Linked DNA regions of Drosophila melanogaster. The protein of the gene in region 1 interacts with the protein of each later gene in a pairwise test. Each region holds a gene or a part of one and is shown on either strand. Other genes may lie near its edges.

Evidence for each region.
Region 2: the proteins of Pph13 (region 1) and CG9578 interact in a two-hybrid assay, tested with the Drosophila melanogaster proteins (one large-scale study listed by BioGRID).
Region 3: the proteins of Pph13 (region 1) and CG12219 interact in a two-hybrid assay, tested with the Drosophila melanogaster proteins (one large-scale study listed by BioGRID).

Annotation. Positions count from the first base shown.
Region 1 is NT_033779.5:575,435-580,244, forward strand, and holds Pph13 (PvuII-PstI homology 13), read left to right. Parts: upstream 1-2,051; 5' UTR 2,052-2,558; coding exon 2,559-2,599; intron 2,600-2,720; coding exon 2,721-2,986; intron 2,987-3,049; coding exon 3,050-3,816; 3' UTR 3,817-4,115; downstream 4,116-4,810. Other genes in the region: Ptth (prothoracicotropic hormone), read right to left, coding at 343-588, 647-970, 1,080-1,166.
Region 2 is NC_004354.4:20,168,300-20,172,137, reverse strand, and holds CG9578 (uncharacterized protein), read right to left. Parts: upstream 1,917-3,838; 5' UTR 1,790-1,916; coding exon 1,775-1,789; intron 1,715-1,774; coding exon 1,380-1,714; intron 1,293-1,379; coding exon 1,073-1,292; intron 1,009-1,072; coding exon 760-1,008; 3' UTR 612-759; downstream 1-611. Other genes in the region: AnxB10 (annexin B10), read left to right, coding at 1-97, 207-209, 490-546; CG9581 (uncharacterized protein), read left to right, coding at 2,293-2,664, 2,722-3,838.
Region 3 is NC_004354.4:6,298,443-6,303,430, reverse strand, and holds CG12219 (uncharacterized protein), read left to right. Parts: upstream 1-2,145; 5' UTR 2,146-2,231; coding exon 2,232-2,396; intron 2,397-2,462; coding exon 2,463-3,568; intron 3,569-3,633; coding exon 3,634-3,823; intron 3,824-3,906; coding exon 3,907-4,134; 3' UTR 4,135-4,377; downstream 4,378-4,988. Other genes in the region: CG3815 (uncharacterized protein), read right to left, coding at 4,939-4,988.

The DNA.
Region 1 (4,810 bases):
GTAACAAAATTGTTTCTCTGGATTCAAGTTTTTTAGATTTTTTACGTTTATGGGACAGTTTTTATACTCGTGCATCAATGACAACAAGAGCTATTTTGATTATTGCTTTATTTCGAATTTTGCTGATGAATACGAATTGCATCCACGACATATCCTAGACAAATTATCTAAGAGAAAGCTCAAACATGAACATTAAGCTACATATAAGAATCAAAAGAATGCCTTAAAAATAACAATCTGTTTCATATCGAATCTCTCCCACAATAAAGCAACTTTGACGTCTTTTTGGCGCTTTAATATACAATTAATTCACATTCACGATAGTTGCTCACATCCTTTCAATCACTTTGTGCAGAAGCAGCCGGCAGTTACGGTGACCGTTTTGAACTGCCAAGGTTGATCCTTGTTCATCCACGAATAGGGGTGATCGGACTGAGAGGTCTGTGCCAGGACCTTTACCTTATATTCCAGTGGCCTGCAATTGGATCCATGCGAGCACTTGGCCAGATCCCGACCAGCGCCCGATTCGCAAACGGCATTCATCAGAAAGCGAGGGAAGTGCAGACCACCCAGATCCACGAGCTCATTCTGGGAATAACAAAATAATTATAAACATCTGACGCGGCTGAATGGTATCCCAACGAACCGTAACTTTGCAGTCGCAGCCTGCGGAATGGACATCATTGCGTTTGGTGGTCACCAGATCCTCATAGAAATCGTTATAGTACATGGGCGGCAGCTGATGGGGCATGACCATCGCCATCTCTGTGGGATGTGGAGTGCTGGGACTGAATCCGAATAGGGCACTGAGCATTTTCGATGTACTGCGATCGGGCTGCTGCTCCTCCGCGCGGTGTTCCAGACTCCTTAGACCCACCATCTCGTCCAAACCTTCATCGCTGGCGTACTGACTGGCGATTCCTTTATTTGTCAGGCTAAGCAGCGCCATTGCCATAATGGAAATGGGCAACTTGGAACGGAAGGGTTTTAAAATGAATTCAGTTCGGAGTATATCCTTGTGCGCCCTCCTTTGTAATTTCGTTTCTATATCTTTCGGCTCTCATCCAGATGAAACTTACCCACGGCATCATGCTCGATCTGTGCCTGACCAGCGCTGTACTCCTTCTGCAGCTCTGGCCAAGGAGTCGCCATACTTTTATATCCATTTAGGACAAAAGCCGCCTCTCGGATTACCTTTTGTGCCAGAGATGAGAGCAGCAGCATCCATTACGGTTCGTCACCTGGACAGGATGGAACAATGGACTCCACAGTTGACACCACAACAATGGCAAGCCATGCCAAGCTCAAGTGGCCCGGCTGATGGGGTTGAGTCCCTCGGCTATTTATACTCCTCTGCTGCTTTCAATGCTTCAATGGGGGAAATGGCTTTAAGGCCTCAAGTGCCGGCAGAGGTGGAGAACTTTGGGCGGTGGGAGTAGCCAAAAGAAGCCCACTGACCCAGACATGTGTGCAGAGGCAAAGGGCAATCCGATCTCCTCCCATCGATAACGTTGACCAGGGTGGGTTTCTGGATTTTTGGTTTCCGAAACGGCTCCGAAACTTTTTCCATAGCATACTTTTGAGTGAGGAGCTGTGGGAAATGCAATTCCGATTGTATTTTACTTGTCGGATTTCCCCCAAATGGATGACATTTCCGTTTCATGGTCTTGTTTAAAGAATATTGTTTTTATAATGTGCAAAGGCAGATGAATGGTAAAAATAGTGGTTTATAGTCTTATGTAGAATTCTTAAACATTTTCCAGCTATGCACATCCTCCGAAGGCACCATGAGTTGCCATAAATTATGAGCTCACTATGTCTCCCACTTGGGCCAGTTTGGGTGAGGAGCACCGCCACTGGCATAACAAGCCCGGCTAGAACGACTGTCCAAGAGGCTAGACCGGGTCAGACCTCTTAGGCACATAGTATATACCCCTGTTCGTAGGGAGCCCGCGAGTGTGCGAGTGCCAGTGGACTGTGGTCGACTTCTACGGCTTCTGTCGACGGACAGCACGCACTGTCACTGTTCCCCGTGGAAATCCAAAATCCTCCTCAGTCGAATTCGCGTCGTCGAGGCAAGAACAGTGCCCGTGCCACAAGGTTGGACATGCACAGCTGGACAATCTGACATCGCTTAGCCATCAGCAGCTACATAGGTTCGAGCAAGGGAAGTCGGGACTTGGAATCGGAATCAGAATAAAAAACCAGGAGCGGAGGAGATGCAGATTCCGCTGGTGGGCGACTTATGCTGAGCTCCGCAGCTGCCTGTCTCCAAAGACTTCATCCGTGCTTTCGCCGTTGTTGTTGTGCAGTTTTTCCGCCGTGGAATTTGTCGAAGCGGAAAAGCGAGAAGAAGCAGCGACGCGAAGCCCTCGAAGTGTCGACGAAAATCGTTAAAAAATAGAAAAACACACGGCGACTATGTCACGACGCGCTTGAAGAGCCCCATCCTCGCTGAGGGAGATATTGAGATTGAGCGGGATCCACACCTCAGTGGCCACTACTCGCCACCCACTCCGCCAACGTCAACGTTCACCAACAGGAAGCTCAGGATTCGCATGGACAAAGGCACAATGAAGCGCAAGCAGCGGAGATACAGGTATAGCAGATACATTCGAAATGTACATATATCGCGGTATAAATCCAAAAACTGGACTAGTTTCATAAGTATCTACTAAAGCTATAGGTGCACTAACACTAGTTTTCCTAATGATCCGCAGAACCACATTTAACACACTGCAACTGCAGGAGCTGGAAAGGGCGTTCCAGCGGACACACTATCCGGACGTGTTTTTCCGAGAGGAGCTGGCCGTGAGGATCGATTTGACGGAGGCGAGGGTGCAGGTGTGGTTCCAGAACCGGCGGGCCAAGTGGCGCAAGCAGGAGAAGATCGGTGGGCTTGGCGGAGATTATAAGGAGGGTGCGTTGGATCTCGACGTGTCCTACGACGACAGCGCCGTCCTGGGCCAACTGGATAGTGCGCTGGGTAAGAAAGGATATCTCTGTTACCTATCAACCCATCGCTAGTAATGACCCATATTGATTTCAGGCGGCGGTGGAACTCTATTGCCGGACACCCCACCGCAATCCTCGAACTCCCTTGATAACGAACTTAAGGCCTCCTACGGCACGGGGGCCATGTCGCCCTCTAGGCTGTCACCGAATATATTTCTCAACCTCAACATTGACCACTTGGGACTGGAGCGGGGTGGCAGTGGCCTCTCCATGGAGTGGTCCACATATCCTCCGCAAACGCAAGCGCAGACACACCCGCAGATGGACTCCGACAATCAGCTCCAGCAGCACCCGCCTCAACAGCATGCATCCGATCCGATTCACGCCGGGAGTTCGAGTCATCACCAGCAGCAGCAGCAGCAGCACCAGCAGGAGCAGCACAATCCCCAGCTTCATCCGGGGCTTGAGTTTGCCGCCTCATTGAGTTTGGACATGACCGATGGCTCCTCCGCCTACGACGAGATGAAGTTTCTCAGCGTGGACGTGGACCAGTTCACGATCGACAGCTTCAAGGCGGACTGCATTCTGAGCATGGAGCAGTCCCAGATGCAGGCCTACGGCGGTCACTCCCAGCTGGTCGGATCATCCAATGAACTGTGCCTGGACGGGATTGGCATGTCCTCCTTTGGCATGGAAGAGGGTGAGCCCAAGTCGCCTCCCTCTCTTTTGGTGCTGGACAAGTCGCTGCCCTCTTTGAGCATAGGCGTGGAAGGAATCGCTGATCTCGTGGAGCAACTGCATCATCACCAGCATGAGGGCGGCCCAGTGGGCGGTGGTGTCATCACTGGCGATGTCATGTGAATCCAACTTAGGCGAATTCTCAGTTTCTCAGCGGTAAACTGAAGTGCGAAACCTGCTCTAGTTATATTCTTGTTTTCTAGTCAATGTTAATGTCTAAGTTCAAGACCCAACAAGGTCGCCACACTTGACTACAAATATTTGGATGGTTAACTTACAAAAATTTTAGTACTAAATACTAGTTTATCTGAAGTTGTATTACTTTAGTCCTGGAAATGTGTCTTGATAAATAGCAAAGTGGTTTACATAAAGAGAACCTGTAAGTTTATAACATTTGAAAACAACGAGAATTGTTGAAAAAGAATATTTTTCGTAGTGTACATTTGTGAATTTCGAAACATTCGAATCGAATCGAAACGAAACGGAACGGAACGGGTCCTTGACTACGAGCACGGGTACCTTTTCTGGCCAGGCTCAGCCATAGCTTCTATGGATTCCGCATGTGTGTGCCAAACAAAGGAACCCCCCCCCCCTACGCCCCTGCCACGTCCCCTACCCTCTGCACACGCCTTATTTGTGGCTCGGATTAGAGGCAAGCTAGTTGTGCGATTTGAATGGATTTCGGCTTCCAGTGCTGTTTGTTCGGCAATAACATTTGCTTTGCTTTTTAACAATTACCAAAGACCGCTCCACGCTCCTCCCTGACCTGCCCACTGGTTGGCTGTAATTTCCATTTACTCCTATTAACGAGGATTTCTGTAGCTCCTGATCCTAAGCATCCTCAACGAACAACTCCTACGCTCCATTAAGTGAAAAGCTCACAGCAGAGATGATAAATATGGTGAAATTTAATGAAATTGTCAGTTAGTTCTAAAGTACTACAATAGATATGCTATTCTCATTACACGGCGAGATCCAGATCACATGAGGGCATCTCGCTTGATTAAGACTCGTCCGGTTTGGCCAGAAAAGCTGGCTGGAATTAAGCCAGAGGCTTGAGGGGAATGGAGCGGCGAAAGGCCCGACAGAGGTAAGGATTCGATGCTGGGGGCACCCG
Region 2 (3,838 bases), on another chromosome or scaffold:
CATCCGCATCATCGTCAGCCGCTCGGAGATCGACCTGGAGACCATTAAGCAGGAGTTCGAGCGGATCTACAACCGTACGCTGCACAGCGCCGTGGTGGTAAGTGGATCTCGAAGAATCGCGAGTGCTTCGCACATGGTTAACGCACCCCTTTCCCCTTCTCTTCACGTACTTGTCGGCATTTGTTGCGGTGTTTGTGTTGTCCTAGGACGTAAGTATTGGCCACGCCATTGGTGAAACGGATGTATTCCTGGTCTTGGTTACTCCACGTTATCAAGTGTTCCTTTTACGCTACATATGCTGCCAAAATCCCCATCAAATTATTTCTAAGAACGCCGAAGCAAACTGGTTCTTGGGCATTTTTCGATATCTCATTATTGGCTTGCCAAAAAAGTATTTTCGGGCAAAGTAGTAATTGTAGTGTAGAGGGCATAGCCAAAAAAGCAAGAACTTGGATCTCGCTTCAATACGTTCCTTTCTTTACTTTCCAGGCGGAGACCTCTGGTGACTACAAGCGGGCCCTGACAGCCCTACTTGGATCCGCCTAGGCCCGAGGATGTGGCAGCTGGTCCGCCCAATATTTTATTCGTGTTAATAGCTTTGATCGTAGTGTGCCTTTTAGGAAAATCGCTTTTAATGTCGTCTGCGCATGCGCACACTGTTGGCAATAAATAAACGCATATAGCAGCAGTTGTAACCAATGCGACGACTGACATAAACCTAGAGATCTGGGATCTGGCATCTAGCATCGGACATCGGGACTACTTAAAGAAGAGCTTGTGCAACTGCTTGGACTTCACGGGCACAAATTCTTGCATTTCATCCGGGTTGGTCCAGAAGGCCACACAGTTTTGAAGCTCAGTGCAAGGCGCCTCCCGATGGATGTACTCTTTCAGGATAAAGTCGTTCTCGATCTCGTGGTGGAAGCGGGTGTCGTGCATCCGGATTAGCACGTGGTCCACGCGCAGAAAGTGGCGCAAAAGGATGAAGAAGCCAGAGGGCATCACGCGCTGTGCCAGAAAGAGTTGGGCTTCTTCGATAAGGGCTCTATAATTTGTATTTATCAGCACTTACGATTCGCACGCTCATCACCGATATTCCGTGGTCGTGCAGCTCATCCTCGAACAGAGTTAAATCGTGGTAGAAGATGATGTTCTCGCGCTGCATCAGCTTGAACTTGTTCAGCGTCTGATTCGTGGTCTCCGATCGCACTTTTTCGTTCATGGTGCCCTGGTAGGTGGAGGTGAATGTCCAGTCGAAAGGCTTGAACTTCTCCTCCATTGTCTGCTCGTTACTGGAGTATAGAATTCAATCATTTGGGCGATTTATAGAGGAACAACAGTAGAACGATCCATATCCCAATCTCAATGGGAGTACCCACCGCGTTTCCCGCCACTCCTGAGCACAAGCGACCTCCAGCGGCTGCTTCCCATTGTCCACCAGCGCCAGCGCGTCCATGGGGCAGAACTCGAGAGTGGCGCCGTCCTTGTGCTGTAACACCAGCCGATTCTTGTGGAACACCATGTCGGGCAGGTGGGGCAGCTGCAGGGAGTGCTGGTAGTGGCAGAGGTCGCAGCGGTCGGCCGAGTCCTTGGGACAGCACTTGGCGGTGCCCAGTTGGCAGCTGCTCTTCAGGATGTGCGACTTCTCATACTTGATGGCCCAGTCGTGGAACTGGATGAACTCGCTGTCCACCGGCAGCCGGGGCACAAAGCACTGCAGGACGGGATTACATTGAGTGTTTGGCCATTGGAACTGGGCTATACCAACACATACCTCCTCCATGGACATTCTAAAGATATGTCAAATGATTTCAAAGTGTCTGTCTAAGTCGAAAATACTGTTCCAAAGCCCCCTATTGATCCTGTTAAAAATTTTTGTTATTATGTTAGGGATGCCAATGTCGATTACTTCTAAAGCTTAGCGGCGGTACTATCGAGGTTTTTCGATTGCAGCGCAATATTTAAATGCTATGGGGCGAAAGCAATCAAGTTGGCGTACTTGAGTGGATTCATAAGCTTATATAAGCCGTGGTTGTACACAATTCGAAATGAATCGCGTTTTTTGAAAGCTGCTATAGGTAAGGCGAAACTACATTCACATAGTTGTATAATTTTACAACGATAGTTATCGACATCTGTCAATCGGCGGGACTCTTGTTAAGCAATCGTCTGGCAACCCATGTGTTTTGTTTTTATCCAGGATCGTTAGTGTTTTTAACAGTTCCGTTTTCTGATGTGTATAATATTGTGAAGATTTTAGTTGGCAACCCAAGAACCGGAACCGGCAGCACGATGAATATCCTAAGGCGCCTGGACCGCCTGATCGCTCCCACCGTCCGCCGCAGCGCCGCCATTTCCACCAGCCTGTGGCCACACCGCTGGATGAGCCAGTCCACCACGATCTCCCCAGGAAGTCCCAGCAGCAAATCGACAGTAAACGCGGCCGAGGTGCGTGGCGTGGCTCAGATTCTGCGCCAGCAAAAGGGAAACCTGGGACAGCCCACCAGCGTCTCGCATCCACATCTTATCCAGCCGGACGAGCTGGTTCCGGGCGTGGAGCTGACCGAGATCAAGGAACGCCGTTCGCAGCTGATGCAAAACATCCGCGCCTATGCACGCAGTTTCGGCGGCGAGTTCAATGGGCACTCGAGTTCTTGTCACATGGTGAGGACCTGCAGGCTACAAAGAGAAGCAAAATATATAAACTTGAATCTCTGACAGCTCGTTCTGGGCGCCGCCTCCAAGAAGTATATGAGCGGCAAGATCCCGTACGTGTTCCGCCAGAACTCGGACTTCTACTACCTAACTGGCTGCCTAGAGCCGGACGCCGTGCTACTGCTGACCATCGACGAGGCCCAGAACGTGCAGTCCGAGCTGTTTATGCGTCCCAAGGACCCGCATGCCGAGCTGTGGGATGGTCCGCGCACTGGGCCCGAGCTCGCGGTGCCGCTTTTCGGAGTCACTGAGGCCCATCCGCTGTCCCAGCTGGAGGCGGTGCTGGCCAAGCGCGCAGGCGCCCTAAAACCACACATCTGGTTCGATCAGAAGAGCACCGACCTGCCGTCCCTGGCGGAGAACATGCTGCGATTGAGCGGCAATCAGCAGCGTCCGCTGCTGCCGGCCTACACTTTCCTAGAAGCCATGCGCCTGCTTAAGTCCCGCGACGAGATGCAGTTAATGCGGCGCACCTGCGACATAGCCTCACGCTCGTTCAACGAAGTGATGGCCGAGACCCGGCCAGGTCAGTCGGAGCACCATCTGTTCGCCGCGATTGACTACAAGTGCCGCATGCGCAACGCCAGCTACCTGGCCTACCCGCCGGTGGTGGCTGCCGGTAAAAACGCCACGGTGATCCACTACGTGGCCAACAGCCAGTTGTTGGGTCAGCAGGATCTCGTGCTGATGGACGCCGGCTGCGAGTATGGCGGCTACACCAGCGACATCACACGCACCTGGCCGGCGAGTGGGGTTTTCACGGAGCCGCAGCGCACACTGTACGACATGCTGCACCAGCTGCAGGAGGAGATTATTGGCAACGTGATGAAGCCGGGCGGCGAGACGCTCGACCAGCTGTTCGAGACCACCTGCTACAAGCTGGGCAAGTACTTGCAGGAGATCGGGCTGGTGGGCAAGTCGTTCAGCGAGTACAAGGAACTGGTCAGCCAGGGCTACCGCTTCTGTCCGCACCACGTCTCCCACTACCTTGGGATGGACGTGCACGACACACCGCACGTGCCACGCAACACACGCATCGTGCCCGGCATGGTCTTCACCGTTGAGCCGGGCATCTACATTGGCCAGGATTGCGGCGACGTGCCGCCCGAGTTCCGGGGCATCG
Region 3 (4,988 bases), on another chromosome or scaffold:
CACATTATTTTCTTTTCCATTTTTTAAATCATTTACATATTTGGCTGTCGTCGCTGAATAACTCCACATTCAGTCGCTATTGGGCAATTTCCATGATTGACTTTACTGCGTCAAAAGGTCGAAAACCGGCAGGTGTGTTGTTACCTTCTTTTTCTATGCTTTTTTTTTTGCGTGTGCGTACTGCGTGGGTGCTGTGCGGTTTTTCCGGCTTTCCATCGCTCGAACCTGGGCCATTGCCATGTTTGGCGGCATTATTTCCACGGTTTTTTACACTCGTTTTTTCTTCAGTTTTGCCTTTGTTTTTGTTTGGCTTTTAGCTTTATCGCGACATTGGCAAACAATTTTCGGCAAGGCAAAGTCGCGCTCCACTTGTTATGCTGCTCTGCTCCCGGACGAACTGGCCAACTGAACTGGCTTGGCTGCGACTCTTTCGGACGTGTTTCGCAAGTTAAACCCAGTCCGAACCCAAGCCCATGCCCAAAAGCCAAACTATTTACAACCGACCACTCTGAGGCGGCGACCGCAAAGCATGAACATGAATTAAAACAAAACTGTCAACAGAAAACCAAAAAAAAAAATATATATATACATATATATAAATGAAGCGAAAGCGAATATGGGTACGTTTTTCTTGATGGCACGAAGAACATCGCACTAAGCTCGAATGTATTACTATGCGAGTGCCACAGTAAAACATATGCTTAAAACTCAAAAATAACATATTCACTGCATTACATACATTAAAAGCATTAGTAAAATTGAAAACTTAAAAAAATTTAATATTTTACATTTTGACACCAAAACTGAAGATTCTAGAATATTACGCATACGACATGTATGCCTTTGTAAATACAGTAACTGAATTTAAGTGGCGTATAAAAATGTACTAACAACCAAGCAGTTTATTATAGGTATAGGTAGATATTTAGAATTCACTTTTAGCCCTTGAGGTTACAACCCAAAATTAATCATACGCCGCGTGGACACAACAAAGTATGTGTGTTAAGCCAAATTTTCAAGTAAAAAGTAACTTTAATCAGGTTTCAAATTACGGAAGCATGACTGTACCAATTAAATGCAGCTGTAAACTTATTAAGCCGAAAGCAAACGCAGCAAAAACACGCACAAGTTCACATTTATGTGTCTTGAAAACAGCTGACTGCCCTTGAAAATGGAACTTAACCGACCCATAAAATGCTTTAAAACAATGCCCAAGTCAGAGGTTTGGTACAACAACAACAAAAAAGTGCTAACTGACAATTTAAAATGGTCAACGTACGATGTGAGATTCACAAGCGTGGAGTTAGAAATTATGGTCATGTGAATGGTAAGCTACATTCTTGGCGCTTTGCGGCGACCTTAGCTGCAGGGTGGTGCACTGAGAGAAATATATTCAGCCTTATATTGAACTAAATACATGCACTTTGTTCCCAAAACTAATCGTTTTTAGTGTATGAATATTAAAAATTCCGATTGGCCAGAGTGCCAATCACGGCAAAGTGCATTTAGCAATAATGCACTTGCTGTTTGCCAACTTTGTTTGCATCATTTTGCAAATCAATTAGTTAGAATTTTAGCACTGCCTGCTAATTGCGGTCGCAGCATCATCAAGTCATGCAAATCGGTTGCATTTCGTTGCAAAGCAAAGAATGATACATGCTTTTTTTCAGATAAGGCTAAAAGCAAAGCGCCAAAAGCTTCAAACACTCCACTCATCGCAAAAAAAAAAGAAATCATTGGACATTGTGCAACCGGCGATCGGTCGAAAAATAGGGTTTTGCTGGCTTCGCAACTTAGCATAATTGCAACACACTAGTTGAGAGCCACTTCAATCAAATATTTCTTCATGCATCCTGGAACATCAATCATGAGTCTTCATTTACCACTCAGTTGACTAAATAATACTTTCTAACGCAATATATTCCACTAAGTTTAATATTTTTTCTTAATCTCAAGTGCAATAAGTTTTAAGTTATTATATAAAGTACAGAAATTTAACTTTATAAAGCAAGTTTAAATTCAAAAATAAGTGCAATTTGAATTAACGCTTTTCCGTTACGTGACGTAACGTTAAGTACGACCTGCGCCAACGTCACGTAACGATTGGCACATCGATAGGCGTTGAATTGGGACGAAATGCCATCGCTAGGTGAAAGTGTGACCGTGCCCGTGTGAAGAACACAAACCAATGGAATAAAGTAAAAAAATTGTATATTTTAAAGCGGAATAAAATGATCTGTCGCCTGTGTCTGAACGCGCTCGACGAGCAGAGCGCGGTGCTACTGTTCGACGGCGCCGGCGGAGCCAGTGCGCCCGCACCGGATGACGAGGACGACGGCAAGGCGATGCCAGAGAGCTACCTGGTCCAACTGATCTCGATTCACTTGTACCTCTGCGTGAGTATTCGCTGATGATTATTTAGCCCACCGCCTCGCCCTAATGCTACCGCTCATCTGCCGCAGCTCTCCCGCGACGACGCCATCTCCACCTGCATCTGCACCGAGTGCTGCTCGCAACTGGAGAGCTTCCACAACTTCTGGAAGCTGGTGGAGCTAAAGCAGACGACGCTGTGCAGCCAGTTTTTGGCTATCGATTGTGATGTCAACTGGTCGGAGGATGGCAGCGAAACGCAGTTGGATGCGCAACCGCAATTGCTACTGGAGCCGGCGGAGGAGCCCAAAGTGGTGACTCCCACAACGGCGAATAAGTTTCCCTGCATGTTCTGCGAGAAGTCATTTAAGATGCGCCGCTACCTGGAGGAGCACATAGCCACCCACACCGGCGACCGACCCATTGCGTGTCCCTACTGCGAAATGGCCTTCCGCTGCCGTTCGAATATGTACACCCATGTGAAGAGCAAGCACACCACGCAGTGGCTAAAGGCTCGCGAAGAGCGGGATGCGGCCAAGTCGAATCAGAATCACACGACGCCGGAGGAGACCGCTCCAGCAGTTTTAGTTCCTGTCCCTGCTCCTGCTCCTGCTCTTGCTTCCGCTCCTGCATCTTCTGCTTCTCCTGGAAACACAGTAAATCCCGCTGCTACTGCTACTCCTGCTTCGTCTGCCACACCCACCACCAATCTCGCAGCAGCTCCTTTACCATCGCCACCAACTGTCCAACAGCTGCCGCTGTCGGTAATCAAGAGTCAACCCAGCGAGGCCATGAACCTCACCATAACCAAGACACCGCCATCCGGTAGTCGGGGCTCACGCAATCGATCCAGTCGCCGAAAGACGCACTCGCCCAAAAAGGTCCAGCACACGGAGGGCAGCGATGTTAGCGACGAGGATTCGCCGCAGAAAAGGCTCAAGGAGAACGAGCTCATACTGGCCAATTATAATGCGGTAGCCGCTGCTGTCGTGGCAGCCGCTTCGCTAACGGGCAATCCGCCAGGACAACCGGATAGCCTGCAGCAGCGTCTGTGTGCGAGCCTTTTGCAACAGCAACATCAGGAACAACTCTTTGCTGTCATGTCGGCAACGGCGGCTGCAGCGGCGGCCGTAGGAACGAGCAGTGCCACAACAACGACGACAACGACAACTGGGACAATGATGGCGCATCCCTATGGGTAAGTCGATTGGATACTCCAGCAGCAAGCAGCAAGCAGCAAGCTTACTAACGAATCTCTTACAGCAACCACCCGCCTTCAGAGACGGATAAACGACCGGCGGCTCCGCTGCAGGCTGTCATCCATGCGGCACCCGTTTCGATCATTTGTCCCAATTGCGGTGAGCTTCCTGGCCAGAATCATCGCTGCCTGAGCAAGCCCAAGTACGCATGCGATGTGTGCGGCAAAAGCTTCAAGATGAAGCGATATTTGGAGGTGAGTACTGCACTGCCTTGCATTGTTTCAGTTATCCGCAGCTGCATGGATACCACTAATGATAATGAATTCTTCTGCGGCAGGAGCACTTTGCCACGCACACGGGCGTCAAGCTGCACACCTGCGCCTTCTGTCCCACGGAATTCCGCTCCAAGTCGAATATGTACCATCACACTAAGCGCAAGCACAAAGCGGAATGGGAGAGATCGCGAGCCACGCGCTCGGCGGCCAAGGCTGGCGTCCAGGAGCAGATGCAGCACACCAACCCGTCACAGGCACAGGCTCAGCCGGGTCCTGCGGCCGCACTCTAGGATGGCAGCCGGCACCTGGACGCGGTGCATGCGTAGTCTTAGATCTTTACAATTACAAATATATACATATATATTTTTTGCATATTAGCCATACCGAATGTACTTATCCGACGTTTCGTGTACTCCACAAAGTCAAGGCGTCCCGCCGCCTGGCACCTATTGTGTATACTCTTCTCGTTCTCTATAATGCCTTAACCAGTTGGATTTGATCTGGTTATAAAGTAAACACATTCATTTCAAAAGAAACTAAAAGTCATGTGCACTTATTGGGCGGGGCTTACTGCTAATTGGTGGCTCCATCGATCCATTTGCATGTGAAAAAATCTCTGATCTTACAAGTTTATTTCGTTTTAGCAATTTATACATCTGTTTTTACAATAAAAGTAAAGTATGCGATGCGGGTTTATGCGATTTATGAACGTAATGGTTAATTCAATAAATACGGCGTTTGATACCAGAGATCCACTGCCCACTGGCATGGATCAGCCTGCAGCCGTGCACATCCGTGGTTTGTACTCCGTATTTATTGCACTGGTCATAAGGCAAATATATACCCTTAATGCTGGATGGGATTGGAGGATTGTGTGATTTAAAAGTACTGCCGAGGCTTTGCATTGCGATGATTGATGCGATGAAGTTGAACTGGTATCTGCTAACCCTAACCCTATGCCTGGCTGCTAGCTGCCCCACTGAGATTGGTGCTGCTCCACTGGAGTTGGCTGCGGTTGAGCGCGTATATGTTTCTGTGTCTTAATGCTTAAACTAAAGGCTGCTGCTTCTGCTGATGGAGTCTGGGTACTGGTTCTACGAACGCTTGCTGCGCGCCTGCGCCTGCAGCAGATCCACCGACGGCA